3 linked regions of the Caenorhabditis elegans genome follow. The protein of the gene in region 2 interacts with the protein of the main gene of each other region in a pairwise test. Each region holds a gene or a part of one and is shown on either strand. Other genes may lie near its edges.

The links.
Region 1: the proteins of gldi-4 (region 2) and mtss-1 interact in a two-hybrid assay, tested with the Caenorhabditis elegans proteins (one large-scale study listed by BioGRID).
Region 3: the proteins of gldi-4 (region 2) and twnk-1 interact in a two-hybrid assay, tested with the Caenorhabditis elegans proteins (one large-scale study listed by BioGRID).

Annotation. Positions count from the first base shown.
Region 1 is NC_003281.10:8,763,438-8,772,432, reverse strand, and holds mtss-1 (Single-stranded DNA-binding protein, mitochondrial), read right to left. Parts: upstream 4,123-8,995; 5' UTR 4,120-4,122; coding exon 4,027-4,119; intron 3,975-4,026; coding exon 3,910-3,974; intron 3,635-3,909; coding exon 3,280-3,634; 3' UTR 3,190-3,279; downstream 1-3,189. Other genes in the region: K02D10.3 (uncharacterized protein), read left to right, coding at 482-535, 581-685, 729-837, 1,050-1,099; K02D10.2 (uncharacterized protein), read left to right, coding at 1,208-1,309, 1,358-1,513, 1,561-1,677; Chondroitin sulfate synthase mig-22, read left to right, coding at 5,224-5,442, 5,493-5,792, 6,038-6,124, 6,172-6,284, 6,352-7,057, 7,138-7,290, 7,649-8,358, 8,416-8,542.
Region 2 is NC_003282.8:7,012,066-7,022,592, reverse strand, and holds gldi-4 (ZZ-type domain-containing protein), read right to left. Parts: upstream 4,968-10,527; 5' UTR 4,929-4,967; coding exon 4,727-4,928; intron 4,119-4,726; coding exon 3,895-4,118; intron 3,844-3,894; coding exon 2,773-3,843; 3' UTR 2,759-2,772; intron 2,713-2,758; 3' UTR 2,383-2,712; downstream 1-2,382.
Region 3 is NC_003284.9:5,788,736-5,800,617, forward strand, and holds twnk-1 (SF4 helicase domain-containing protein), read left to right. Parts: upstream 1-4,595; coding exon 4,596-4,759; intron 4,760-4,862; exon of another isoform or gene 4,863-5,001; intron 5,002-5,070; exon of another isoform or gene 5,071-5,191; intron 5,192-5,260; coding exon 5,261-5,330; intron 5,331-5,375; coding exon 5,376-5,656; intron 5,657-5,702; coding exon 5,703-5,978; intron 5,979-6,114; coding exon 6,115-6,187; intron 6,188-6,235; coding exon 6,236-6,346; intron 6,347-6,396; coding exon 6,397-6,531; intron 6,532-6,587; coding exon 6,588-6,661; coding exon of another isoform or gene 6,662-6,688; intron 6,689-6,751; coding exon 6,752-6,805; intron 6,806-6,819; exon of another isoform or gene 6,820-6,963; intron 6,964-7,193; coding exon 7,194-7,326; intron 7,327-7,371; coding exon 7,372-7,497; intron 7,498-7,958; coding exon 7,959-8,171; intron 8,172-8,217; coding exon 8,218-8,322; downstream 8,323-11,882. Other genes in the region: F46G11.2 (uncharacterized protein), read left to right, coding at 238-335, 391-507, 563-655, 701-863, 919-1,015, 1,064-1,260, 1,302-1,517; F46G11.4 (Inner membrane protein), read right to left, coding at 8,686-8,751, 8,814-8,892, 9,964-10,022.

The sequences.
Region 1 (8,995 bases), on a different chromosome or scaffold from region 2:
GAGCGCCGCATGCGCATGTTCTTATTTAACTATTTTTAAACGGCATTATAAGCTTTGCTCTTATAGGATTCTACGCCTCATCCCGCTACGAAGCCTGGCAAATCAGATATTTTCTAGTCTACGTGTTGGTTAAATGTCTGATAGTTTATTAAGTTCATTAAAAAAGTTTAGTTAATTTACATACAAAATAAATAATTATAACGTAACCTTCCCTCCTCTTTCCATTTGGTGGGTATATAAGGTGTGAAAATATGGGAAAACGTTCAGTCTGTCAATGCTTCTCTGTGACTTCTCCTTGTTCTTAATCTTCGGAGCTTTTATTGTCTCTTGCACTGTCAAGAAACAGAAGAGATCGTGAGTTTATAGGAATTTCAGGAATTAAGTTCACAGGTTTTATTTCCAGAGCTCGTCATAAACACAAAAAAAAATGATAAAGAAAACTGAAGTGAAGAACTGTGCACTTGTCAATAATCGAGTAGAAATGGAGGAAGTTGGAGGAAATGGAGGACCCGCACGCATCGCAGAATGCGGGAAGGTTTAAATTTTATTATTTATTATCAAAAACCCTAATTTTTTTCAGATCGGTTCCGGTACAATAAACTCGAATGTCGTGCCTTCCGTCAACCTTCCGTCACCTTCCGTCAAACCTTCCGTCACACCTTCCGTCAAAAAGCCTCCGCATGTGGTGGGAATTCAAAAATTTACATAAACTAATGAACATTTTTCAGATTAGATCAGACTACTCGAAGCCTCGTGAAAAGCCAGCAAAAGTTGCAAAGAAACCAACAGTTAAAAATGATAAGAAGCCAAAGCCGGTAGCAATCGTCGCTCCAACAGGTTGGTTTTCCAAAAAAAAAATCTAATTCCCTCCTCTTTCCATTTGGTGGATATATAAGGTGTGAAAATATGAAAAACGTTCATTCTTAGGATGATGATCCTCGATATCACTTTCCTGCTCGTCCTTGCTGGAATGCTATTTTGCGCCTAAAAAAAAACAAAAGTGAGTTTATAGGAATTTCAGGAATTAAGTTCACAGGTTTTATTTTCAGGAATCATAAAAACGTTCAAAACCACACCAAACCCAAATCGAAACTTATAAAGAAACATAAGAAACAACAAAAAGAAAAAAAAGAAAAAAAAAGAAGGAGGAAAAAGAGATAAGCGTGTTCCAAAGAAACGATCAAAGAAATCCAATACGGCCGAGGAAATGGAAAAAAACGAGCTTAAAGTAATACGTGGAAAACCAGAACAACAGAAAATGGACATTTCAACGGTGGAGGTGAAAAACAATAACATTGAAAAGCTCAAAGTAGTTCAAATTTTAATATTTATTATCAAAAACCCTAATTTTTTTCAGATCGGTTGCGAAGCAAAGAAAACTACCGACCGAGTGGAGAATAGTGGCAATGGAACCGGATCAATTAGTGCTCCGCTTACGGACTTAGGTCCTTCAATTGGTGATTCACATGAGAACAAGGGGGCTGACATTCCCATCCATCCACCACTCGATACAGTAAGTTTTAAATCTTAATTTTCATATTGAAATAAATGAGTTTTCAGCAATCTCACGCCAAAGATGATGATTGGTACGACATCTTAGTCATAACAGCTGACTACGAATTTCCAAAGAACCCAGCAAATGAAGATGTGAAAGAAGAGAGAACTCAAGGGGATTGAATGAAAATTTAGATGAAATTGGTATTAATAAGAGAACTGGGGTCGATGTTATATGAGTAGTGTTCGGGTGTTCTACGCTCCCGCAAGCAACTTTCACACCCGTAAGCCTAAGTGCAGTAATAAGGTCTCCGATCCCTCAATCCCCCACGTCTTTCAATTCACCGCGTCTTTCAATCCCCGTGTCTCTCGATCCCCCAGCTCGCGGAGCCAGCTCCATGAGTCAACTCTTTCGAACCAACATATCGTACAGTTTCTAAGCAAGAATGGACATGACTTCTTAAGAAAAACCGGTTTATAGTGATTGACGGAAGTATTGAAACAGCGGAAGACACAACCAGAACCGGTTTGAGGTAGATTGGTATGTTATCTGACAGTTTCTAAACAGAAAAAATGGTGTAACTTTAACAGGAAAAATTAGTTTCAATGCCAACTTGTGTCAATTTTTATAATTTTTCAAAGTTTTCTTCGGAAAATCAATTAGTACGGCTAACATCTAACAGTTGTGATAATATCATACAAACAGATATTTGAGAATATGTATCCGTTTATTATGCAAATATGATGTGAAAAAATGAAATGTACATTAAATGTGTTTTGACAAAAAATTAATGTACATTTCATTTTTACCCAATCGTATCAAATTACTTCGAACTTTTACTGCTTTTTAGAGATTGATTATAGAGTACATGAACATTTTTTTGAGTATGGACATGTTTTTTAGTAAACATTCAAGCCCAGTGTATACATTTTCACATGATCACCTTAGCTTATGATAATACAGTACCTAGAATTATATTTATCGTATGACAAATTACTCGAATCCTCTATGATGTGTCCACAAAATATTGCTGATTTTGCAAATACGGGTGCAAGACTATTAGAGACTGCAATACTAATGGAAATACGGTATATCTAAAGATTTATGATGGCATAGATTTTTTAATCTAGTTTTTGGTTTGGAAATTTATTTAGAAAGTATCTTACAATTTTTAGGAATTTGGAATACATGATAAACAACATCTCAATAGAAAAATAGTGGAGGAAAAAAACAATTCGGAAGAATATAGAAATTTTAAAAAATAACATGATTTCAAATATAATTATTTGCACGTAATGCATAACCAAAAAACAATCACATACCTGACAGCAGTGGAAAAGGCGATCTGCCGAGGTGCAGAGACAATCAAGCGCTGTCCAGATCGGTTCATGGTTTCCCAATTCTACAAAAAAATCGATTAAATCGTGTGAAACTGCTTCAACAATTTAAAACATTGGCTCAAAGTGCCCGAGAGAAAACAAGAAAAAGGGAGGGATATTGTGTTGTTTCGGAGGAACAACTGGCGAGAGACGGAATGATGAGGAAAAAACGAAAAATCAATATTTTGACAGTGTAGTGAATTCCGATTCTTATCAAAAGTTGATTTAGCTGAACTTTCAAAGAACGATCAGATAATAAATATGGTTAGAAAACCAGGTATGCAATCAAATAAAACTTTTTTTTTTAAATATGAGATAATGTTTAATCAGGTAAATAACTCGTCAACAAAAACAACAACAATGGTCTATTATCGGAGATTCTAAATATTTAAAAAATTTTGAAAATTAATGTTGATCTGGATTCTCTCTAGCTGCTCGAGCCAATGGTTGAACAGTTTGAGCGATGATGTAGGTGTTGCGTTGTGTACGGTTTCCTTGTTCGTCCTTCTGTCCTCCAGAATAATGAAGTCTCCCCTGAACCATAAGACGGGATCCTTTCTTGATGGTTTTTGAAAGGATTTCGGCTTGCTTTCCGAAAACTGAAACGGCGTGACGTTCAGTTTGATCGAGAGTAGTTCCGTCTTGCTGCTTGAAGTACGAGTTGGTGATGATATTGAAGATGAGGTAAGGTTTTCCGTTCCTTCCAGTCTTGTACAATGGATCCAAGGCGACTCCTCCGACTAGTTCCACTTTATTCACACTGAAATAGTGATAATAAATAAATTTTGAATCGATATGATCTGAATTCAAAATTTGTTTTTTTATGCTTTCAAAATTGAAATTGTATCTTTCACAGCTATTTTACAACAATATTCGAACGACTTTTTAATAAGTAATTTTTATTGTCAATCGTTGCGTTTGTGCTTTTGAAAATTGTGACATTTTATTTTTTCTAGCAGGAACTTTGATACAAATTATTAATCTCCTAGTTCAGAAAAATGCAAGTTTAACATTTGTGTAAAACTCATATCATACCTGTATGCATGCCGTCTTTGTTCTGGGTTATGATGTTGTGGTTTTTCAGCGAACAAGTCATCAACCTGAAACAGACAAAAATTTCATAATTGCACAATTCGCTGTTTTTCAACTTACCTCTTGCTTGCTCGGTTGCTCAGCAGCCATTTTGGATGTCAATGACATACAGCGGACGGTAGACTTGGAGATCGTGGAAAGTGAACGAAGCATTTTCTATAATTTTGGTTTATCGATTGAGCAAAATATGAGTTATTTTTAAAAATTCAATATTAAATGTTCAACGAAAAGATTTAAACATAGTATATACATTTTACAAATAAAAACGGGCTCAAAACAACTGTTAAATATGGAAAAGCAAAAATAAAATTGCATTTTTTGTGGGCGGAGTTGAATCGCGCACTGTTGCAAGCCTGGCACGCGATTTCCGCAAACACGCCGCACAGTTTACTCAGTGTTTCTCTCGCTTTTCTCTTGTCATCGGTTTATTTTTATTTTTTAAGTTTCACTGCAAAAAACCACTTTATTTCTACAATTTTATTGATTCAAACCAATAAAATTTATCAAAATTCCGTTAAATTCAAAATCTTATTTCGGATTTTCCTATATTTGATTGTTATTAGATGTTCATTCTAAAACTACTAAAAAGATATTCATAATTCCAATGTATATGTTATTTTAATTATTCCCACGAATTATCTGTCATATTTCGAACTTAATTTCCTAATTCAATTAAAATTGAGATAAAATCTTGAAAATTAAGAAATTAGAAAAACATTCTCAAAATAGCATGTTATTAACGGTTTCACTGTCCTCGAACATTAAATTTTCTAAAATGACCTTAGTTAGTCAGGTCAAGTACAGAACATAATGTCTGCGTCTCTTTCAACTCAAGACTATCTCTTCAAACACCTTCTTACAACGTCGGCGTCGATCACAGCCTCTTCTCGTTTTTTTTGTCTTCCGTCTGCATCGCATACCGAAGAAGGTTGTCGCTCCACTCACATGTCCTGCAATCATTTTACGAGCATTGTCACACACATCTTCTATGACGACTGTTTTGCATTCATTCATAAACCCGTATTGTCTTTTCACGCTTTTCTTTGATCAGTTAACCTGTGTTCTGCTCATTCATGCTCAAACATCACTATTTGCTCTTGTTCACTTCACTTTCTTATTGTAAATTTTCAGAGCTTCTTCACAAGAAAACTTCGTTATTGGAATTGTATCAAGGCGTATTGCTGACTGTTTGGTACGTTTTTCACCGGCTTTGAAAAAAAGTTTAATAATTCTCTATTCCTTTTTTAGAATCGAAGAATGGTCGGCGGCGGTCGAACAGGCATACACTTGCTTCTTGGATTCCTTATAGGTGCCGCTCTCGCGCTCTTCTTCTTTTCATCCACACCAAGTATAGACTTGACCAGCTCATTGGCTGCATTTACATCATGTCAGAATCAAGAAACAGAAACGAATGTTCTTGAACCATCGGCACTGGAGAAAGGGCGAGTATATAAAGATTTATCTGAGCATTGGATTGTGAGTAGCTTTAAAAAAAACACAAAATTTCATGAAAGAATCAAATTTAGGTTCACCAAGACGATATGCCAGCGCCTCCTCATAATCAAGACGCTACTCCAAAGGTTACAAGAACTCGATTTGCAGCCACTGAACTCGGTACACGTGAACGAGTTATGGCCGCAGTGATGGCTGAGTCTGCATTGGCTCTTTCTATTAATGCAACTCTTGGGCGCCATGTTCCACGTGTACATTTGTTTGCTGACTCTTCAAGAATCGACAATGACTTGGCCCAGTTAACCAATTTGAGTCCATATAAACTAAACGGACAAAAGACGCATTCGATGGTTTTGGGTCTCCTTTTCAATATGGTTAGTTGAGTTGTTCAAAAATGTTTTTTTATGTAGTTGTCAACTACTCGTATTTCAAAAAAAAAAGTCATAAAACTATTTCAGAATCAATTATAATTGTCAATTGAATGTTTTTCAGTAAGTTTACCCCATGTTGTAAAGTCGATTTTGGTGTAAAAATTCCCCTGTTCAGAGTATCTCAATTGTTCTTTTTGGCTTCTTCCTGTCGGAGTTGCATTTCCTGATTAAAAATAAAATGTTTTCAGACAGTCCACAACAACTATGACTGGTTTCTACTTGCCAAAGATTCGACGTATATCAACCCATTCGTTTTGCTCAGAATGATTGATACGGTATTTTATCCAGTAATTGTTTTTGTAAAATAGTTGTTAATTGTCAGATGAATTGGAATGAACCAGTTGTGATGGGTGAAGCAGCTGAAGATGGAAGTGGACGATGCCGATTGGATACTGGAATGTTGCTCAGTCAGCCAGCAATGCATGCTCTGATGAAGTAAGCTTTAAATCAAAATTTTCACATTATGATAAACTGAAAAGTGTTTTAAACTGAATATTTTCAGCAATCGGAATGCTTGCAACAATTTCGCACTGGCAGCCGATGACGATCAACTCGCATTTGAAAAGTGCATTCAAATCGCAACAAATTTGACATGTAAGCCGCTTCATCAAGGAGTTCGTTATGAAGTTTGGCGAGGAGCCGAGAGAGCTGATTCGCCAGCTGCTCATGACTCGATTGAGGACTGGAAACATTCACCAGCATTTAAGAGAGCTCTTGCTGTGCCAAGATTACTTTCTGATGCAGATGCATCTGCACTTCATGATTATTTCGTTCGAGTTGAAATGCAAAGAGCTGATCGAGAAATTATCAAAATGGAAGCTGAACTTTCTCGTCTGGCTGAGCAAGAAGCTCGTGAAACAGGAGAAGCTATCAGCTGGCCACCAGCACTTCCACCGTATGCAAAACCACCAAATCGGTATCAAGTTTCGACTTGGGAGTACTTTACGATGACTGAACTCTTTCGAAGTGAACCTAATCAAAATGTTCGACGTCTTGAAGGAAAAGATTTCGATGATGTTGCTGAAGTTGTGGTGGCTGCTCGGCAGCAAGTTGAATCAGAAGAACCAGAGCTTGAATTTGTTCAATTGAGAAATGGATATCGAGTTTTTGATCCACGGAGAGGAATGGATTATATGGTTGATTTGACATATCGAAAGACTGTCAATGAAATGCCTGAAGTTGATAATCGATTTGAAAGTGATAATGAGGTAAATAAAAGTTCTAGAATATCTAAATCTAAATCTGAAACAGATTTTCTGAAAGTTTATAAATTTGTTTACAATCTCAGGCTGCACATGAGGAAAGTCTCAAAGAGATTGTTGTGGAAAGAAGAGTGCACGTTAGTCGAATGATTGCAAGTACGCAGCTTATGAACCAGGCACCATATGTGAAAGAAGACACAGATGTCACTGTCGTTATTCCAGTTGCTAGTGAAAAAGACGTTAGTTTTATAAAATTGAAAACCACAAAGAGAAGGGATTGTCGAAAAATGTTTATAAAATTTCGATTTTTCAAAAATAAAAAAAATGTTTTAACAAAAACTCAATTTTAAAAAAAATTGTTTATGTTGATAGAAAAATCATGAGAAAAATATACTTTTATTATTTTTAAAAAATATCCAAAATTTAAAGCTATTTTCGAAATATTTTAGTGTAAAATCGAAAATCAACATCTTTGATTAGAACTTATATATTGTTGAACATACAAAAAGTGTTTTTCTAAAGGTTTTTCAAAAAAAAATTGGTTCCCATTTTTAATTGTTTTGATATAAACAAATTGAAAATATGTATATATTGTAGGTTCTCCCAGCCCGGAAACTTCTTGCCAGACAAGCTCGCCTCTGTCTCTTCCCCACAGAAGAAGCCCGTAAAACTCGAATGGTTGTAGCCGTTTTCCCATTAATCGAATCTCGTTCAGTGACTGCTATCACTAATGATATGGAAGAATTAAAGCGACGATGCAAGCGATCACTTTTGGAAACAGATGTTCTTCCAGTACATCCTGCTGTTAGTACAGAAGGAAAGGGAACAGCTGCTGCTGCTGCGTTGGATGATGCTGTGGATCGATACGGAGCCAATACAATCTATCTTCTACTTTCTCCACATGCAGATGTTCAAAAAGAGTTCTTTGATCGAGCTCGTATCAATACGATTAAACATTATCAAGTTTTCTTCCCAGTTCCATTTGTTGAATATCATCCGACAATCTCTGGAATGGAAATGACAGAAAAAGAAGAAAAAGAGACGCCGACAGAACAAGCTCGTGAAGCTGCTTTATCACGATTAAGAGATGGAGTTGAACCAAAAAGGAAAAGAACATTGATTGTACAAAAAGAACATGGACGATTTGATTCTCAAGATTTCTCTTGTTTCGCCGTTTATGGTGTGGATTATGTGACAGCAAGAGCTAAATTCGGTCAAAATGAGAGACGGAACGACTTGATTTCTGCGTTCTTGGGACAAGATTCTATACATGTACTTAGGGCTGTTGAGCCAACTCTCCGAATTCGGTAAGATCGCCAAATTTTGTGTTGTTCCAGTGTTATTAATTAATGAATTACTTACAGATATCACAAAAGAAGCTGTGACATGGAAAGCATCGACACCGAAGATATCGCTCGTTGCCTGGACAGTAAAAAGGAAAACGTGGCGGCGAAGGATCAGTTGGCAAAATTGTTATTCCACGAAAAATGAACACCCTTCTACTCCCAACTTGTCCATGATATTTCTGCAAATACGGTTTCCTATTTTCCCTTTCTCACCTTCCTATTGCACTACAATTTTCACTTTGCCCTCTTGCTCCGAGCATAACATTTTCTTTTCATGTGAATACGATAATCCCGGCGGTTTTTCATTAAATAATTTTTAGCCCGCTTGCCACAACCCGATGCTTTATCCCCGTCGTCAAATAATTCATTTTTTACAGTTTATGTTAAATTGTGCCACATTTTTTAATTCACTAAACAAAGTACATACTATCTCGACCCGTCCACTTTTTCTATAATTTATGAATATCTGTGATTTTTAATCATAAATTTTTGTTTTGATTTTCTTGAAGAACAGTGCTTGTCAAAAAAAATCAAATTTCGCAGGCCTTGCAACATGATTTTAAAACAAAATATTTTGTTTAAAAGGAAGTTGGGCTAT
Region 2 (10,527 bases):
TTCTATTTTTCAAATAGATATTATGGTCTAATATCAAAGTTTACAAAGTAATTTTTGTTTCTGCGCTACAAAAACTGTCCTGAAAAGTCCACTATGAGCGACTAAAAATGGAAAAAAAGTTTAAAACAGAACAGGAGTTTAACGACAAAATACAACAGGAGAATGCGTAACAGCAGAAAAACAAGAAAAATGACGAGAAAACATGAAAAGTCTGGGATTAGTTGATGTCAATTCTCGTATTCTGAGAAGTGACGGCACGGAGAAAATAACAATAAGGTTTCATGCTGATTTGTTTCAATTTGTAGGCTGAATTTAAAACAACGCAAAAAAAGACTAGAAGCAGATATCTAATATCGAAAACTTTGCCGACTATTTATGTTTTGAAACAAAAAATGTAGTGAAAAGCTTTCAAAGTATCAAGTTACTTTACTTTCACATGAAAATTCGATTTCAATTTAATATTCGAAACTTTTCCACCCAATCCAGAAACTTTTCCAGACAATAGACACATATTTTAGCTTCCTTTGAATTTTTTGGTCACCCGAAATGAAATTCAATTATCCACTGAAATTTACAGCCTCGCACGTCAGATTTGTGGTCCGTTTCATAATATAATTATGGAGCGTTGTCAACAATATATTTTTAGATTTGTAAAAACTCATTTTGATCGATCTCACCGTTTCCAATTATAATCAACATAATCCATATGACAAGAAAAATCAACCACCACATCCACCAAACCATCTCGAAGCGAAGAAAACTATCGAATAAATTTAAAATGATAAGATTATCCTAATCTTGTAATCTGATTAGGAATAAAGTAACCACAAGTTCAAGCTAAAAGTTCGGCCTTCACAAATAATCATGTACGTGAAATTGAATTTCCCATACTGCCTCGTCCGGGTGAAATGCCTAATATACCGTATTTCATCAATTAGTATTGCACCACATTGTTTCACTTTGACAAGTTGGATGCAATACTATTAGAAAGACCATGGTAAGCATATTCAAATATTAGACTACAAAAGAGGGAATAAAAAGTAAAGTGGAATAATGTAACGTTTGCATGGCTTATATGTTTTCCGAATAAGTAAAATTAATGTAAAGTTGGCAAAGAAAACTAGATTCACTTTTCAACGGGCTTGAAATTGTTAAAATTTGCTTTTCAAGAGTGGTCATTTTTGATGAAATACTTTCGCAGGAACACTTTCACGAAATACACATATTAGCCAGTAATTCCAGATAACTTTTAAAGTTTAAATCCAGAGTTTCCCACACTTTCTACAAAAATTGCTCTTTTTCAGAAACTAAACGACAATTACAAGTATATGTGGCAACGTTAGAACGAGCTAAAAGTGGAAAAACATTCCTCGAACTCCTTATTCAAGTCGTAAATATTTTGTCTCTTCATGTTATTCTTCTCTTTTTTGTCACTTTCGTCTCTCGAGCACAAAAAAAATAAAAAGAAAAAGAGAAGACAAGGGTTGCATTTGTTTGGGTACATGTTTTCCTTTTTTAGTGTTCGGATCAGAAAGTCGAAAATGAATGAATGAAAACAAATAAATTTATGAAACAAATGGTGCTTTTGGGACCCAGTACACAACAAAAGCCGAGGGAGAACATCTTGAAAAGTTCTTTGATTTCTTAGAGTACAAAAATGTCTCTGGTACGAGTAAAACTCTGCCACAAAACCTTTGGTCTCGTCGATTTCGAATGAAAACGACTGAATGACCTTCATGTTTTCATGTGTTATCTCGTGTCAAACACACATGACACCTGGCAGACGACATGAAAATAATATATTTTCCCAGCTTATCAATCTGATTAATAGATGGAAAATTTCAGAAAGACACGAAAAGAAGTACAAAGTTTATTTTGAAAAAAAAGGACAAATATTTTCAAGTCAACAAGGTGTGTCTGGAACAATTCGTTTTAAAACAAAAGTTCAACCGAGGATCTATTGCAAAAACAATCCTTTTAGATACATTGCACTGGATATTTTTTGAAACGACTATTAAAATCAAATCTAAAAAGTATCTAGATGTCAAACAAAACTCCCAGAAAAACGGATGTGCGCCTTTTATACAGTAACTTCAAAAATTCATTGCAGCAGAATTTTCATCGATTTTTGTCGTGTCGAGACCCGGTACCGTACTTTTGGGACGAAACTCGCGAAATTAATCTTCTGGATAATAGTAGAAACGTATGTCGTTTTAGAAGGTTTGTTTGACATTTACATTTTTTTAAGATCTGATTTTTTAATTTTGAATCTAAAAATGAATTCATAAAGTTTACAGACTTTACAATTAAAGATTCTTTTTTTTTTTTAATTTTTTATCCTCCCCTGTCTCACTATTCTTATGTATATTGGCAAGCTAAATTCTGATTTTCAATTTATTTTATTAATGCGAAATGAAAAGATTCACAAAATTGGAAAATTACAATTTTAGACTTCAGAAAAAATAAAAAAATAAAGATAAGACAGTACAATGGAAAAATTTAGATATTTGAATTTTTGCAATTCTGCAAAACAGTCTGAGTTTTCTGATTTGATAAGAAAGTTGTTATGAACAATTTGAACAATTTTTTAAATATTTGGAGGATTCATGAGAATATTGAAATGCATATTATCGTTTGGAAAGTCCTTTTGAATTGGAATTACAGTGCTGGTTGAGAGTACAAGATGGAAGTTGAATCCTCTGTTTTTGTTATCTGAAATTGTTGATAAATATCTTTGAACCAAGGGATGATAACTCACATTCAACAATACGTTTAAGATTGTTTAGCCTCTTCCTCAACGACATCAAAATCGTCTTTCTCTTGGTCATCAGAGCTCTCAGACGAACACTCATATTCTTCAATGTCTTTGAGAATTTCAGCAAGATCACTCAAAGAATCTTCATCCGAAAAAATAGATCCGGGATAGTTGCTCTCAGCAGTTTCAACTTCAAATTCGACTTTTCTTGTAGTATCATCTTCGCTTTTCTTTCCATCTTTGACTTTATTAAAAATCGGTTCAAAACGATCCGAAAAGAAAGCCCTATTCGTTTCGAAGTTTATAGTTTCTTGCTTCATCATCTCTTCAATTTGTTCCTTTTGTTTCATGAGCGTTTCCTTTTCAACTCTGAACTTTTCCTTTTCTCTGATGAATTCTTGACGTGAAGCCGAAAGATCGAATCGAAGTTGCTTTTCGTGTTTATCGAGGCTAGATTCTGCTTTCTTGTAAAAGCGATCGCGGAAAGAAACTTTTTGAACTTTTTTACCATCAGTTGTATCTTTCAGTTTTGGATGCATTCTTTCATAAGTTTGCGGTTTCCTGCTAGACATGTGCTGAGCATACCATGGGTCCTCAATAATGTTTCGATCACTTTGTGCATTCAAATATCTCGAGACATTGTTCTTTGTTGCGATGGCTTGAGGGGTTATGCCCAATCTCCTCAAAGGAACCTGGATAGCTCTGTCACGAGAAGAAGCAATTGCTTGAACTTGACCGTTTTGATCTTTTACCTCCTCTGGGTTTTTGACAATCAAATGTTCGGGGAACAAAGTATTTTCTGACACCAATCGAATCAATGCATGCTGAGCATGAACTCCGGCAGCTTCACATGTTTCGCACAAATCGTAGTTGTAGCATATAGCACACTTGAATCGATGCCCAATAATCAAATCTTGGCACTTATCACATGAAGCCTCGTGAACTTCCTTGTTTTTGAAGGAGTTTTTGTCTTCTTTTTTGCGACACTGATTCTCAAGCTTCATTTCGGAAATATCCTTTTGAAGAGATTTGATTTCCAGTTGTTGCTTGTCTAGAAGCTCTTGAAGTGAGAGTTGTCCTTCAGCAATCTAATATAGTTTTCTTTTAGAAACAAGGGAAACGAATCAGAAAAATAATACCTCAGTATCCTTCATAACTCTCCATGCCTTGTCAGATTTCATCGTTGCCTTACATTCATTCACAGTCCGACCCAAATCATCCAACTTGGCAATTACCGAGACATCCAAGATTCTGACATGAAGAAATAGCTGAGGAAGTTGAGAATGATAAAAGCTCAATTCCGGGCGAATGTTGTTGTAGATCTCATAGCCACTGGACAGAACTACAGGGCCATCCTTGGTAACTGAAAATCATATCTGGTATAAGATGACTGACATTTTATATAGTGCCAGCTGAAACTCTATTCGTATTTCTTTTTTTGTAGTTTCTATTTAAAGTGAGCACAACTCAAATACTAGCTCATTTAGATTTGAAAATTTTCAACTAACAAAATTTTGCTCTTAACGATTTCTAAAATTATGTTATCAAACAAATTATCATAAATTCTTTGGAAAAAGTTACAGCAACCTGCGGTTGGGTTCAGATTAAATTTGATAAAACGATATATTTTCCCTATAACCTCTATTGTTCTACTTTGTTTTTTGTCAACTGTGTGTGCAACAACAATAGTTTTGAAACATCAAAAACTCAATTTTTAGACAGGTCAAATCACATCCAAATGCTTCAAAAATCTTGTCAGCCGATGTAACTTCTTTTCATAGAAAAACGGAAGCGTAGATAAAATTCAATTTTTCATAATTATAATTTTTCAGTTGATCAAATTTTGTTGGACATATTGATTATTGTGTTATACTATTTTGAACAACTCGAATAGTATCTGGAAAACCTAAAATAACCAATGAAATTCGCGCAGGCACTGTGCATCTAAATTTCATTTAAAAAAAAACTTACTGCAGCTAAACTCAAAATCAGCAGCCGAATGGATGGTGGAAGATCCCAACTCGACGAACGTTTTTCTGAGTTGATCGAGGACTTGACATTGACATGAGAGTTCCAATACAGCATTCTTGTTGATATCCTCATTGTATACACGCCAATGATAGTTAACCTTGACACGGCATGTTTTGTTATGTTCACGGCACAAAGGTATCATTGGGATGACAATTGGAAGTTATCAAGTTATACCAAGTTTCTGGAATTATTTATCGAAGTTCTAGAAATAGTTCAATATGAGAGAAAAATTAAGGAAACATTAATACATATTTTGAAACAGTGTGCAATTTCTATTTCGCATAATTTCTTTGCCTGTTTTTTAGAGAGAGGTTGCGAGTAAGATATTTATAAACCTAACAGAAAATGGCATTATAAACATTGAAGATATATATGCATAGAGGTTCTTCTGCCAAGAACGTTTGGGAAAAGAGCAAGGAGAAGTAGGAGACTCAGAGACAAAAGTGTTCCCCGCGCGGAAATGAGTGGTACCTCGAAATAGAAATCGATAAGCGTGTGCCCACTTGTCCGGGGGTACAAGGGTCAATTGGATTATGAGGTATTAAGTTTGGGCTATTATTATTAGAAATGAACCATAACTGGAGAATCTGTGGACTTTTTTTCTCCCGTAAAAAATTCCCCCATTTTTGCTGAAACGATTTTATTCAAAGTGACTCATCTTGCAAAATGACGAATCACAATTTACAATAATTTTTCGGCGACAGTTCAAAGGCACACGCTGTTTTTTGAGAGGGTCTCGCCGCGATCTCTGTTAAAATTATCGTTATAGGGGCAAATATTTACAGATTTGTTAATTTTTGGTAGAAAATGAAGTTTATAAACAACAATTTAACTTCTGTGCACAGAGAAAATCAGGATTTACCAAAAGCACCTAGTTTGGAAGGATTGACGTGAAATTCCAATCGGCCGCCTGCGCCTGCCTGCGTTTAATTTCGAAATGAACAAAGACTAAATATAAAGTGTAAAAACAGATTGCAACCTTCATTTGCCTTTTCTCCTCTCCGTCTCTTTCTCTCTCTGTTTTCGTTTCCTCTCTCCGTCTCCCAATTTTTCATTCTATTTCGGTTTTACATATGTGTATTCAAAAACGAGATAGAATTTTGGAAAAATATAAAGTAAATTTGGAGAGCGCCTAGAAACAGAGAAAACACAGAAAATCACGCGGAAAAGCTGTCGTACGCGGAAGATGTGCATGCATAATGATATCACTGAATTGGACATTTTTCGGTGTAAAATACAATTTATTTTTACAACACATACAATAAAAGGTAAAATGACCAAACAATATTGCATTTAAGAGAGAGAGTGAAAAAGGCTTGGATTTACCCAAAAATAGGGAAGAAGTACGGGATTGAAATTGAAAAAAAAGTGAGAGGACATACTTAAACACTGGATAAGAGAATAATTGTTCGTTTTTGAAAATTGCCAAGTAGAATAAAATTAAATCAAACTTTTCGCTTAGAAAAATTGGCAATTGTCAAGAACAAACAACCCTGAAGATTCGAAAATACAATGCAAACTATAATAAACAAATCATCAGGGGTGGTGGACGTTTTGGAGGCGCATCAGACCAGAGGCGCTCACGATGGAGTTTAGCCAAAGGTCGTCACAAAGCTGCCTCTACTAGCGACCACCGACGGTCCAATTTTGAAGAGAGTAGGTGATGAAATAAAATGACATTGAGATTTTAGGTTTATTTGTTTTTTTTTTTGAATTCATATTTTAAAAAAGAGATCCTAAATAAAATCAATGTTCATTTCATTCCAAAACCCAAATTCTCCCCCAAATTGGACCCTTCTTAACCTCAGCAACCAGAAGCTTGTAATTCCTCATCTCCTTCCTTCTTTTCAAGAGTCAACGTGGTGAAGTTCTCCGCGACAGTTGGATGAATTCCAATGAGACGATCAAAATCTGCTTTCTTTGCAGCCAATTTCAACGCGATTCCGAATCCTTGTGTCACTTCACCAGCATTTGGAGTGAGAATGTGGAAGCCCACAACTTTTTCCTAAAAAATCGGATATTAGTTTAACTTATTTCACTTTTTATTATTACCTCTTCATTTCTCAAACAAATCATCTTCAGATAGCAATGGTCCTTATCCATTCTTTCTGAAATCGTATATTCCAGTGGATTGAATACATTGTGATAGATTATAATGTTATCCTTTCCATATTTCATCATTGCATCTTCCTCCGATAGTCCACAGCAACCATATTCGAGAGGAGTGAAGACTGTTGTTGGGATTTGATCGTATTCCGTCTGAAAATGTTTGAAATTAAACTTTTAGAAAATATACAATTTTATTATTTTAAAGATGGAATAGCGCCGATGTGGATTTCAATTTAAACACACAGACTGGATCTAAATGCTGAGATAACACAAAATAAAAATTTTAAAAATTGCTAATTAACTTTGATAAACTTTTTTATTGTCAATAAATTACTCCTTTGAATTACCTAATTGTTCCTAATTTTCAAGTGAATAAAGGCTTTTTGTCTATAAAAGCATTTCCTTTTTATCTAAAATACAAAAATTATAGAAAATGGTTTTTTTCGAATTATCATCATACATCACACGACGCAAGTAATTGTTGTAATTGGAAATTGTAGATAAATTTTTGGCATAAAGTAAATGTTTTTATAGACATAAAACCTTTTTTGCTTGAAAATTTGAGGCACAAAAAATAATTTACGTCAAAATTGAGAAAAACCAAAGAGCAGCAATAGCGCGGTAATTCAAAGCGATTTTTTTCCAATTCAATGATTTTTTAAAGGTTTTTCTTTAGTGATATTTGGGCATTCAGGAGTTGTGCGAACTTTAAGGAAATATTAAATCCACATTTTTGAAAGTTCACAAACCAATTCATTTGCTCCATCGAAAATTCGTCTCATTAAAACTCTTCCAGCTTGAATAGCAACTGGAGTCAATTCAGGTGTTCCCTCCAAAACGTCACCAATTGCATAAACCCATGGAATTGTTGTCGACTGCTCACGTCTTCCCAGTACTTTCTTGCTCTTTGCTCTTTCGACACCAATCGTTGTAAGACCAACATCATCAGTTACGGCTTCCCTTCCAATTGCCATCAGAATCGTGTTATATTCCTCCGAAACTTCTTGCATTTCTCCGGTTTCTTCGTTCTTTTTCGGCCAAAATACTCGATACTTTCCAGCTTTTTCGTCAGTTTTTTCGTCGATTTGCTCGATTCTTGTCGGGACTCCTGCTTCGAATTTCATGCCGTAGGCGATCATATGCTTACGAATTCGTTCAGCCATATCTTGATCAAATCCACGAAGTAGAATAGAACGAACCATAACCTAAAAAATCAGAAATTAAATTTTTGGGATTTAAAAAAGGAAGTTGACAACCAATTTTTTTGTTTAAGATTAAAAAAAACAATAAAATTGTGGCTTTTCTGAATTTGAAATTATTTTTTTAACTCCAAATTCGTTTTTTACACTCACCGTAACATCAAATCCAAAACCGTGCAAAAATCCAGCACATTCCAATGAGACGTACGAAGCACCAACACACAAGGTTTTTCCAGGAGAATATGGAAGTTGGAACAAATCATCGCTAGTTATAGTGTACTCTTTCACTCCAGGAATTTCCGGATATTTAGGACGAAGACCAGTGGAGATTAAGAAGCGATCAGCAGTGAGTTTTTCAACTTTCTTCTTTTTATTTGTCGCAGAAATTTCAAATGGTCCAGTGAACTCTCCGTAGGAATTGATATACGTAACCTGAAAACTAGGATAACATTAATAAACATGAATTCAGAATATTTTCAATCTCTTAAAGCTTACCGTCTTTTCTCTCAATTGCACACGGTAACCCCAATTCAAAGAAGCGATATGATCTTGAACAGAATCACGCAAATGATTCCATTGATGCTCAACTTTCCCTTCCGGTAGTTTCCAACCATATTTCTTCGCGTCATCTGTAAAATGTTAATAACTTTATGTTATAATTAGAAATAATATTTATACTCACGAATAGAATGACCCAAAAGACTTGCTTGATGCATCAATTTCTTTGGAATACAACCGACATTCACACAAGTTCCTCCTAATCCCCAAGATGTTCCTTGTGGTGATGGTTTCACAAAATCCAGACATGCGACTTTTTTGCCTAATCGAGAAGCTTCTTTCGCTGCTGCAAGACCTCCAGATCCTCCTCCAATGACAATCAGGTCGTAGGTATGATCACGAAGCCATTCTTTCAAATAATCCTGCTTCAGAGCTTTAAGTTCTTTGAGACCACCAACAGCATTTCCTTTGATATACATTAGAGGCCACGAAGTGTGAAGAGTCAGATATTGAATTACTTTTTGTGAAGCTCGAGAGACTTGTAACTTTTTTATTTCCGGAATTTCCAGGGGTTTCTCGGCATCAGCAGGTTCTTTCAATGAATTCAAATAGGTCTCGAACTCCACTAATTGCTTTTCCTCATCTGAACTGTTATAGAAAATAACAATTTTCGAATTTGCCGCTTCTTTTAGTGCTTCTTTCAGCGGAATTCCTGGCGCATCAACGAGAGTTTCGCCGGGGAGAGTCGGGCTCTCCGCCGGAGCAGGACGCTTCGGCGGAGGCATTCCACTCGCTGCTACTCCCATAGAGAGGGTATCGCTCACGTGTGGGTTTGCCGGAGACGAAGCTGAAAAAAGAAAAAATAATGAAAACTATAAACTCTGTAACTATTAAAAAGAAGAGCGTTTCTGTTAAAATTAAAAATATTTGAAGTGAATTCGAAAGAACTGGTGATTTCTGTTTTATTTAATGACTAAAGAAACTGATAAAGAGAATTATACATATATACTAAATAACGGAAAAATGACTAGAAATCAAAAAATTCTTTGTTTGAACTGAACTTTCAAAAATTGTCAATAGAGCGCGATTCAATTTATCTGACAGCGGAATTGATTATTCGCAAAAAGCAGAATTCGGAAATTGAGTTCTAAATTGAAGGCGGATTTTACAAAATTGAAGATTTTAATTCAATTTTTTCATTTAAAATTAATAAAAATATAAAAATAATCAAATTTAAAATTCTTCAAATTTCAAAATTTTTGCAATGAGTAGAATGAGGCTTAATTGAAAATGTGTTTTCGGGAATCTATATCTCTGAACTTTCTATTGTATCTTGTTAAATATAAAAATCGGCAAATAGAAAAATAAAAAGATATCGAACTGAAATATTATACTAAACTGAAACACACAAATATAATAGATGAAAACGCGTTCAAGATATATTTATGTTCAATAAAACATATTTCAGAAAAAAATAGAATATTGTCTGGACGGAAATACAAGATAGTGACAAATAACTGTAGTTTTTCCTTATTTGCAGAATGGAATTAAACACATTTATGACGTAACAACTGTATTAAAATACATGTTTTTTATGTATTTTAATACAGTTGTGACGTCATTTTTCCACCACAAATTAGTTCCATACCGGTTGTTTTATCATTTGTTAAAATGTAAAAAAACACTTGCAGGTTCGGTTGGATATTGTGTTCGAAAGTTTGAGCTGAACTTTTGATTTTAAAAAAACTTAAATATTGTTTTTCTAAATTTATGAAAAATTGGATAGAATAATTAATTTATCGTTTTCGATCAATTTGAATGTCAAAAATATTGCAATATTTCAAACAAATATTTCTGAATATTTTTTTTTTTTGAAATAACTTAACAATTTCTGTGAAAAATCGATAACTAACCTTCTTGTTGTCTCGGCTGTCG
Region 3 (11,882 bases), on a different chromosome or scaffold from region 2:
AAATGGTCGCGCAAAATTTCTAGTAAATCGAGTAAAATTTGAGATTTTAGTGAAAATTTACATTTTATTCAAAATTTAGAACCGCCATACCGTTTTTGAAAAAAATTTCAGAACGTCTTATCACGAAATTCAGTAGTTTTGAGCATTCTGAACTTTCCAATGCTTCAAAAATTTTGAAAATGACATACGCGAGCACGCGTAAAAATTAGTTCCAAATAATACATTGAAATTTTAAAGGACGCTCCAACTCAAGATGATATGCGCGACTCATCAATTTTGGGATCACACTCGAGAACTGCGTTAGATGATGTACCACTTTGCAAGGGGAATAGCAAGTAAGTAATTCGAATGTTTTGGAACTTTCATTTTTTTTTATTTTGGGAATTTCAGTATTTGCCGATTCATTTCGTGTTCTGCTGAAAACTTCAAAAAAGATCCGACATTTGGCAATATACAACTTGCTGCTCAAATACTTGGAGATGCTAAGCTTAGAAAAACTATCAGCAGGTACGGTTGTGCAAACAAAAAAACAAATATAATAAAGTGTAAATCAAATTTCCAGTAACTCTGATGCAGTTCACGCTGTATGCAAAGAACAAGGCATGGATGATGCGCAGTGTAAATTATTTTCCAAGGGATTCCAATTGATTGATAAGTATGTTAGCTTTAACATTGAAACTTATAGAAAAAATAAGTTCAGGTTCATGACATCTATTGAAAAGCCAACAGATGCAAAAGGCGGTGCACCTCCATCCACAGAACCACCAGTGACATCGATCCCCGATTTTGATGAGCCTACTGATGATGAGCCTCAAAAACCAATGATGGACGATCCTGCACAATTACAAGACGATGATAATAGAGTATGGTTTTCTTTTTCTCATTTTAGAACAATGAGAATATTATTAACAATTTCAGAAGCGCTGGGCGGATTATGATACCCCATCTATTACCCCGGTGATTCCCGTGCAAACAGCACACGGATCCAAAACGTGGAGTAGCAACCCTGAGACAAGTATGTTTATTTCAAGTAAGCTTTTCATTATATTTAAAATATTTACAGAATCATTACAACCGCTGGAAATCAGAAATGATCTTGTCTCTAGCTGGACTCAAATGCCATTTTTCGCGCCTCCAACTATTCCACCAGCCCCGCCGCTTGCTTTCAAATCTGTGCCTTCACTAATTTTACAACCGATTCAAGCACCACAGTTGGAGAATGGAATATTCTTCTCGACAGATAAATTCAATTTCCTCAAGGTGAATAACAACTTGAATTTTTAAAATCTAAATTTTTTCAGGACTTCAATCCGATCAAGCGATTCAGACGATCTCCTGATTACTACGATCAGATCGACGAAAAGAAGAAACCTTCAAAAACTTCTGATTCATCTAAAAAATCGTCTGGCAATACTGATGATTACTATGGAAACTTTGATAGTGACATAGATGAGAAAGATGAAATTGAAACCACCGGTCTGAAACAGTGCGTCCATTTTCTGGGACTTGGTGTATAGATCTTATCCACATATGTACAGTTTTTCTATCATTTCTTATTTTTTAAAATTTCAGTTGTTTGATTGACGGGTGTAATAAATCAAGATTCTTTTGAAATGAAAAACTTACTGAACGCAAAATTGGAAAAAAGAAATACTCTGGTTAATGGTCCTGTTTGGAAAATGTGTGATTTGATTTGGACAATAGGGCAAATTTGCATATCGATGTTTTTTTCCAAATCTGTTAGTGGAAGAACTGACTAATTGACACATTGTGACTGTATGTATATAAAAATTTTGATACTTCTGGTTTTTAAGTTTGGTTATGAGCACGTAACTGTAAACAGTTTTCTCATTCGGCAATATTCTATTTTTGAAAGAAAAACATTTTTTAACACTTTAAATAAAATTTAATGGCTGAAACTTTCGTTGTAAATAAATGTTGACAATTGGTGAAATAGTTCAATTCGAAAAAGTTTTGAAACAGAAAACTTATTTTTTAAAAAATCTCTAATTGCCTTTGGGATCACAAATGAATAGAAATTATTGAATTGAATCAGAAAAAGAAACAATTGAATTTTCCGAGTTTGAAATACAATTTTTGCGAACATTTTAAGAAGTGCAATCTCTTGAAGGAAATAACTTATAATTAAAAAGCTCAATGATTTACAGTAAAACGGTTTTTGAAAGAGAACTTTATCAAGCTGTTCTTTTCAAAAAATTTGACAGCAACATATTTTTTGAATACCTAGACTTGTCGTAGTTTGGTGTTTCCTGCTACACGGCGAGCCAGCAATTTTCCTGCCATCGAGCCCCCACACCGAGTCCAACGGTCGCAGACAATCTTGTACACGTGTGACCCATGGAGCGTAAAAAAGTAACAGTAGACTAGGAAGTGCGGTTGAGAACAAACAAGGAGCGGCATTCAGAGGAATCCTGAAAGTGCAGACGTTGCTTCTTCTTCGATTCCCAATCTAAGTCCTTCCATCCCTTGATGCATACTATTAAAAGAAAAAGGAAAGGTATGTGACGGGTTCATTGTTAGTCGTAAGAAGTGTACCAATTTGGGTATACCAATTCGTGCCAATCCAACGGGAAAAATAATAGAACGATGATGGTCGGGAGATGTTGGAGTAAAAAGAGAAGGAGGAGGAGGAAGACGGAATGTATACTTTTGAGATGATGGATATACATTGTGGGATGGAGTATAAAAATTGTTTGGTACGTGCAATCATAGCTGGGCTCCGTCCCTGCTCAAACGATTGTACATTTCCTTCCGTCTCGAAAGGTGTATCTGTCGACAATACAAGTAATTGAGCTTCCTTCTCTTATCCCATTCGACCCCACCCCCATCATTCCGTCCTATGAGACATTTTCTTGTCTTAGTCTTTAGACGACAACTGGCAACTATTCCCTAGTTTTTTTTTCCAATTTTAGATCTCCTTGAAACATCTTTTTTTATTTTTTCCAGGTACCTTGTCAAAAACCATTAGCAAACTGCAGCTCAAAACCATGGAAGACGAAGTAAGTCTTAGAAATGGTACTGTATTTTTCAAATTTTTTTCAGCTCGACTCGGATCTCTACGATCGTGTGAGCTATTTGAATTTGATGGACAAAATCGATACTCGGAAGAAGACATCGAAAGTGGGAAAGTTCCGCGATGAGTAAGTCCAGTTTTTGTCATGTTTTCCAGAAACATGCACATAAGTGACTTCCGGGAGAAGAAGTCTTTTTTGTTTGCTTAATAGTGTGCCAAGCAGTTGTCATATTCGGTTTTCATGGAAGTTTCGGTTTTCACGTTTTTTAATGATGTTGTGCTGTTTTTATATTCATTGGTTGATAGTTTCTGATTTTGAAATTTTGTTTGAAAATTTCCAAAATGTGAATCTGTAACTGTGAGGAAGTATAATTTTAATTTGTATTCCCCCAGAATATACTTTTTCAAAAAATACTGTTGCCTCAGAAAATAGCCAAACCTAACAAAAGTAAACCGGTTCACTTCGTTCCAAAAAAAATTTATTTTTCGTAATATCTAAAGATATATAAGACGAGAAGAGGAGAAAAACAATGAAAGCACTTGGGGCACCTCGATTTAGTGAGCCACCAAAAATCCAGGAAGCCTTTAACGCTGCCCCAACATAAAAGCGAGTCTGAACGAGGAGGTTGAGGAGGAGAAGCAGCACACAAAAAAGTCGAAGATAGCTTTCTATTTAAGAGCATTTTTGCTCCACCAAACCTTCACTCAACCATAGGATTATTGCTCGAAAAAGTGAGGTGTACGGCGTCGGTGCCCCCGCCAACCTTTTTTCTCTCTCGCCCCGTTGCTCCGAACCACCCCGATTAACCCGAGGTCAATTTCACTTGCACTTGAATTGATTCGATCCGAACTCTGATTCAAGTTGCAACTTACTTGTCTATTTCATTTGCTGGTTTTTTCAAATCTATTACTGTACAATGCATCGCTCAAAGTCCCGACCGGTATCTAGGATGTCAAAAAAATCGTATTTATATTCAAGCTCAGACGAAGATAATGGGTATCCAGTCGGTATGTCTTTAAGCATTCTATTTGCGTTTCCCTTGTGCTAATATGCTTTTAAAAAATTTGGAAACGGATGCAGTTTTTTTGTTGGAAAACACCTGAAATTTTCCCGAATTACTAGTTCCGCCACCATGTTTTTATTTTTACACCGCGCAGACTTGTCGAATCTAACAACTTTTGCCAAAACGTCTCTAGCCAGCAATTGTGAGGGCTCCTGCCAAATAAGCTGTGTAATTGTCGAATATCATAAAGAATGGGGGCCAAAGGACGAGCACAATAGCATTTTTTAGGGTGGGGGGAACTATTATTGTTTGCGGGGTGCCTCTCCTGCGCATTTTTCTGTTTTGTACCCATCGTGACTGGTTTGTAAACATCAGAACCTTTCACTTCTGGCACTTTTTCCGGCTGCTCAAGTTCCTGGCACCCCATTCATTCAGCTTTTCCCCCACTTCTAATAATATCGCGTCGAATTCTAGAAAATCAGTTCCATCAAGCACCATCCTCGTCCAGTAGTGGATTTTTACCACCATTGAACTCTAAAGCAGTGTCATGGATTGATATGGATGACTATACAATTCTGCCAAGCCCCGACGAAGCTCCATTTGATCACAGCGACGACGAATATTTCACCGGAAGACGACTACGGCAGAGAAAAGCACCCCGGACGGGAAGATCGGTGACAGCGTCTGAATCGATGAATCAGATTGCAGACTTTGATTTCAGGTTTAGAAAGTGTTGAGTGTTGCATCCTGTGCTTATGTTAATCTTATTTAATTTCACATACGCTTTTTTTGAATATTGATGAAATCGTTTTTACCGAGCTCAAGCAAAATTGAATGCAAAATTGAATCTTAATTTTGAAGGCTCTAAAAGAGGGTGTTAACTTATAAGATGGATTTCAAAAAGCAAATTCCATCGTAAAAGTTTTTTGAACATTTTGCAAAAGAGTTGATATTAGGATTATTGCTGTAAGTTGCATATCTCTCGCTTTTTGTTCATTATTTAGATATAATTGCAGTTACCAATCTTAGTTTAGCCATATTTTTAGATCGTTTGAGCCCCCCTCGAAATATTTGAAAAGTATTCAAAAGGTCTTATTACGTAATTTGACACTTGGATTCATTTTCAGTCGAGTATCTTCGATATGAACTTTAATTGAAATATGAACATAATTTTTGACTGAGCTCAATTTAACATAAATAAATTCATTTGGTTCGTTTTCAGTTCTGACGCGCCTTCTCCAAGACTTGACGCTTCAGAAGCCATGAGTGCTCCTCCAGATCCGGATATCAAGGTTCGAATTTTTTTTCACTCCCAAAAAAGCTTTTTCCGTTTTCAGCGCTACTGGGACAGCAGTTTAGACATAACTGATCTGAGTGGCCACGATTTCACTATTTTCAAGCAACTCCAAGGGATGCTTGGAATTGAGAACATTTCATTCGAAACTCTTGCTCGTTTCAACGTTCGTGTCCAAACCGACACCTATGGTCAACCTGCCATTCTTTTTCCACGGTATCGTGGAATGACTTCCCGGCTACGCATTCCAATGGGTTTGAAGTTGATCCGTAAAGTTGGAGACAGAATGGAAAAGGAGAACTATCCACTGCCAGATGAAACTTCGTAAGTAGAAATTCCGATGTCTTCCTTCATAGTTACCCATTTCCAGCGTTCGCCAAAAGTTCAATGGAGTTTTCGGGCTTCATATGGCAACTCTGTCAGATCGAAGTGTAGTCATTACCACAAATGAGCGTGATGCTTTGGCGATCTACGAAGCCACCAAAGCTCTGGTATTTGCTCTACCACATGGAGAAATTTTGGATCCACTCGTGCTTCCGTATCTGGAGGAATTTGACAAGATCTATCTGTGGTTCCCGGTTCAGCATGTCAGTTATGCCAAAGACTGGGGAAGTGCTTTGAACACCCTCAAATGTCTTCTTGTGAAGTGAGTTTATGGTATTCAGTAGGACTATCATGGAAGGCGCGGATTGCGGCGTAAGACAGGTGGCGTTCCGGAGCCTGCTTGGAAGCCCTAGTATATAGAGAACGTTCGGAAAACAAAACCAAAAGAGTAAGTTCAGAAACGAAGAACGCCCAATTGAATTGGTTCGTAATGGTGATCATCGGCTCATTCGGAACTCACTATCTAACTCGGTACTGTTGCCATTTTGTTCTTGTTTTTTTTCAACTTTCATAGTTTAGGTGGTTCGAATGAGAGAGCGTGGTTTCCGTTCAATGACAGATTTAGACATGCGTGAAGGAATCCGTTCAGACCTTCTCAACTCGACAAATCGCGTTGTTGGATTTGGACAAGTAAGACGAAAGGAAAAAAGATAAATTTCGGTCTAAATAATTTGTTTCAGTGGAAACGATTTGCTGTTTTGAATAAGTATCTTGGCGGGCTTCGGCCAGGGGAGATGACAGTTTTAACCGGAGGAACCGGCAACGGAAAAACTACATTTTTATGTGAATACTCATTGGATCTATTTACTCAAGGGGTATTTTAAATTTTAGCATTAGCTGAGTTTTTCTAATATCTCTGGTTTAATTCTAGGTGCGCACGCTGTTCTGCAGTTTCGAGATGCCTGAAAAGAAGATCCTCCATTGGATGCTTGTGCAATACGCTGGGTATGATGATCTAGTGTTTTTTCTATTGTTATTCTATTTTATTTTTCAATGGCTTGCAACTTTTTAACTAACATTTGTTTTTGTCTGCAGTCCTTCACATCTTCGAAGCCTCGCGCGCACTAACTCATATAAAAATGGCATCAAGTAAGAATATTTAGAAGTATTAGGATCTATCTGGAATAGTTTTTGTTTTTTCTAAATTGGTTTTTGAATATAATAAGTGAATCAAAAACTATTTCAATAATTTCCTTATGAAACCAGTAGCCAACTAGACCTGTTATTTATTTTATTTTACCACCTCACAGTTTTGAGTTGTAGAACATCTTCATTTCTCATTCACTGCTCATTTTGGTTACTAGCTAGTGCTTTTCGTGGTGCGCGAGGCAATTGTCGATTATCTTGAAAGTGTGTTTTTGCACGGTAGTTTGTTCAAGGAAACGGAAATGGGTATGTGGATGAGTGTTGGCATGCTTATTCTGATTGTGCCCAGACATCCGTAGCCCATACACAACTCCCAATCAATCTGGTTCAGACTTCCGCTGCATCGAGTAGAGTATAGCAACTCGATAAATTCATGGTTGGATAGATTCGAGAGATCGAGTTCGGCGTTGACAATGCTTGACTCCGAAGAGTTCATGGAGAAGTCCATAAATGAAATAGTCAGAGTAATAATAGTGGAGCAGGGTTTGAATCATAAAATACCATTTTAGGCAATTCGTATTCACGTTGAAAACAGTGGTATCCAACATGTTGTCATCGATAATCTCCAGTTTTTGATTAACCAAGGAATGATGGCAGATGAGAAGTCAAGTGGCCTTGATAGATTCCACCTTCAGGTTATTTCTTTTTACATCAACTTACAGTTTTGGTTCATAAACTAACATTACAAGAAATGGGAACATTTGGTTTAGTAGGAGAAAAACTACAGTGCGCCCAATTGCTGGGACCCCCCTTCCATTTGAGCGGTTTAGGGCATTTTGGAACTTTTTAATAGGAAAATAATATGGGAATCGGATTCAGCATTACAAAAAACCTCTGTGTCAACAATTGTATTCGGATATCCCAAAAATTGGGAGCAAAATGGCAAAAAGTTGAAAAATCGACCGCCCAACTGCTATCAAGAGGGTGTTTTTCTGGACCTCGTAAATATTATGACACTTCTCCAAAAAAACATTAACCAGTTTGTTGAGTATCATTACAAAATTTGTTCATATTTTGAAAATATATGTACATGCAAAAACCCAAAACCCTTAGTCCTCCTCTAAACATATAAATCTTCTTGAACCTTCGTTTTCAGGATCGATTTGTCGGATACATGCGTCAACTTGCTACTCAGAATCAAATTCACATCACTATGGTTGTTCATCCCAGAAAAACTGACGGTGATACTGAAATTGATGTGCAACACTTTGGAGGTTCCGCCAGAGTCACCCAGGAAGCTGATAATGTCATTGCTATTCAGCGGAAGCGTGATGATCGTGACCGTTCCAAGTTCCGAAAATTCTTATACGTAAGCTTCTAGTAGAATGATATGACCATCCAGGATTCTATTACAGATTCTGAAAAACCGCTACTATGGCCGACGAGTGGAGAGCGATCAACTTGAGATGGTTTTCAACCCATCCACCTATTCTCATACAGTTGTAGAGTTTCCAAAGTAAAATTTTCTTCTTAATCAAATTAATTTTACAATTTCTCCAAGTTTTTCGAGTGTCATTATTCAGTTCTATTTTTTAAATATATTTTTCTGCTTTTTCCTTTCTCCCTATTACGCTGATACTTGATGAAGAAATATACCTTTTCTCCTGACCCATTTCATCCACCTTCTCCCTCCGTAGGTCACATATTATTCTGACGTCTTTCCCTATTTTGTCCGATCTCGAAAACACTACCGCGAAAACACAAAGCTTCTGTAGTTTGCAAATAAATAAATTTTTCATTACTCGACGATGAGAATAAAAAAATGTTGAATGAAAGCGAAATTGGAAATCAAGAATCGAAAACAAAAAATTAATCAAAATTTGTCACATGTTTTTTCGTGGAGGTGCAGGATGAGGCGGAGCAGATGTGGGAAGTATCCGAATTTGTGGCTGTAATTTTTTTTTGTAAAAAATTAAAGGTTTTCTTTTAAATATTAACAACTTGCACTTACAATTGGAACATAATCACAGACGGTTTCATTGTTATCATGACCAACGGCAAATACTGTCAGCCCGAGAAGAATTACTATTCTGGAAAAAAAAAACATTTGAATATTTGAACAGCTCTAGAAAAACGACAAGAAGCTTGAATAAGTGGCAATTCTGACGAAGATATGTGCTAAGCCGTTACATAATTCATTGAGTTTGCGTGTGTTTAGTTTTGAGAAGCTGTCAAAAAGCGTTTTCAGGAAACAAATTTATTCAAAAAATGGGCGTTGGCAATTTATTTTTGGCTGGAAAAATTTCAAAAAATGGAAAATTTCGAGTTTTCAATGTTTGAAGTTATATGGAATTTGTTAAAAAGCGCTTTTGTGGGGAAAAATTTTAACAAAACGTTTAAAAAATTGTCTGTATTTTTAAAAAATTTACTGTCAAAAAAAAAGTGGTTTGAAAATTTGGCAAATTACCAAAACTCTGAAAACTTGTAGAGATGTTGCTTTATCATCATATCATCGTTATGATAATTTTGGGGCAATTTGAATAGGTATTTATTTTTAATATTAGAACATCATATTATGAGCCATTCTCCAAGAAATTTCTAGTTTTCAAAAGGACATTATTCTTGACCAGAGCGATTAAACAGTTAATTTGCGAAACTGTGTGTATTTGTAAAAAATACAAAGTTACACAGTTTTTTTTTTTAATTTTGAAAATGGTTTTGACAATTTTCTGAAAATTGTATCAGCTTCAAAAAGTTATTCAACAAAGATCAATTAACACACAATGACAAGGAATGGGGTTTATCTCACGAAAGTTAGCTCAAATTTAAAAGCACTTTTACAACCCTTCAGAGTAGCGAAAAATACATTGAAAAATATTCATTTTTTTGGTTCATTTTTCTTGTTCAAAATTTTTCATTTGCTGCTGAATTTTTCGTTGAAACTTGTTTAAACTGTCCTTTCAATTGGCAAAGACTTAGTTAGATCGGAAATCGAAAAAAAATTTGCTGAAGTGCTTTTCTTGTGAGCACTAAACGTTTGTAATTTCTCAAAATGTTTTGTTTCGAATTCATACGCAATGGACAAAAATAAAAAGTTTAATTGACTGTTTAGCATTTTTGTGTTTCAAAAATTCATATAGTTTAGTAAGTAAAAAACTTACATGGCCAATGCAAGTAAGAACGGTTGGTTAAATCCGAGTTGAGAAATAACGGCACCCATCAAGTTGGTTTATTATGCATCATTCAACCAATTCTGAATAAGTGATCAATTGTGGAATTACTCATAAATCTCAGCAATGTCGTAAATCTTGAGGTAAGTAGAATGGGACAAAAAAAGAAAGATAGACAATAAGTTTGGCACTATACCAAAAAAAGAAAGGTAATAAAACTGAAAGCAAAACGTACGGAAATCGACTGGAAAAATACGAGAGAAAAGTGCAGGCTTGGAACAAGATCATATTACATGGTAATACGCAGATGCGATTCGGTGAGGTCTTTTGAAAGATGGAGGAAATGGGTATAAATTTGATGAAACTTGATGAAAATTGTGTAAACGTAACAAAGAAAGAGATGGGAAAAGTTTTGAAGGAAAAGAAGAATTAATTGTTTACGTTGAAACACGCATTCAAACAAAAATAAAAGTTGGGAAAAACGGAAAGCGGTCCCCGATAGACGGGAAGCCAATCTAATGTGTTTATAAATGGAAAATGGAAAGGACCCTGTGCGCGTTGGTGAGTTGCCAAAACCTTCGGAAGTGAAAAAGGACAAAAAGGTAGAAAAGAGGGGAAAAGAGACACAAAAAAGTGTACGAGAGCAGCGGCAAAGTGGCTAGAGAGTCAGAGAAATTTGATTTATTTTAAGTGAAAGCTTGCGCAACTCTTTCAGCAGCGGGATTATTGAAAATCGCGCTAATTAGATGAGCTCTCACCTCTCTTTCTCAGGCCGTGAAGAATGTGAAGCTCATCCTTCATAAATGCTCGTTCGCGTAATGCACATGTCAGATTAGTTGATGTCAGCTTTGAGAGAAAAGAACTCATGAGGGAAATGTGTCAATAACGGGCGAGAAAAATATTAATAGAAAACGGGAGCATCTATCAAAAACATGACAGATTAGAAAAAGTTCGAAGACAGAGTAATAAATATTTTAATTTTATGACAAATCATTTTCAAAAAATAGCCTGAATTTGTATTAATTTGCTATTAAAAACTCAGAATTTATCTATCATAATTTTTTCTATTATTTTTGATGTTCATATTTGAATTGAAAATTCACAATTTTTATCTAGAAATTGTAAGCATTTGAACATGTAAAACTTTTCAAAATTACTTGAAAAACTAAAATATTCTAATAATTTGGATTTTTATGTGTATTTAGAATAGATCGGCACTATCTTACCTTTAATAATATTTGTTCAGTTTTTTTTACAAAAAATGTTAAAAAATGAATGTTTGAAAATTCGGGGGGTTATTTTAAAAGTAAACTTGAAACTTTTATTATTAAAAATTGAAATTAAAAATTTTGAAAACAAATTATTTAAAGTGCCCAATCAAAGGAAGTTTTGCTAAAATAATTTACCGTATTTCTTCAATTAATATTGCAATTCTATTGTTAAACTTTGCCAGTTTATATCTCAGTTGTCGCTTGTTTAATTTCAAACTGGAAAAAATTGTTTTTTTTATCGTTTTTATGTATATTGTTTATTGATATCTTCGAAGTGATAGAGGGATGCAATACTAGTAGCAAAAATACGGTAGGTTTCGAGTAATCAGTACCGAGAGTTAAACAAAAAACTTCCTTCTCAAAAGTTCCATCACGAAAAGTGTCTCAAAACTACTCTCCTTGTAACGTTTACATGAATAAATTGTGAAGGACCTCTCTCAGTGAAAGTACGAGGCATCGCCCTCCACAACGAAGGATGTCTTATTATTACACACTGAAGGATATGATGAGGTCTGCTGGGGTTGTCCGGCTCATTTGTGAAACGGAACAAAAAAAACACACGTCTTTGTCTGTTTTTGTGCCATGTGAGCACACGGGTGCTTGTGAGAGGTGACGACGGACGTGCGGCAAAAAAGGTCC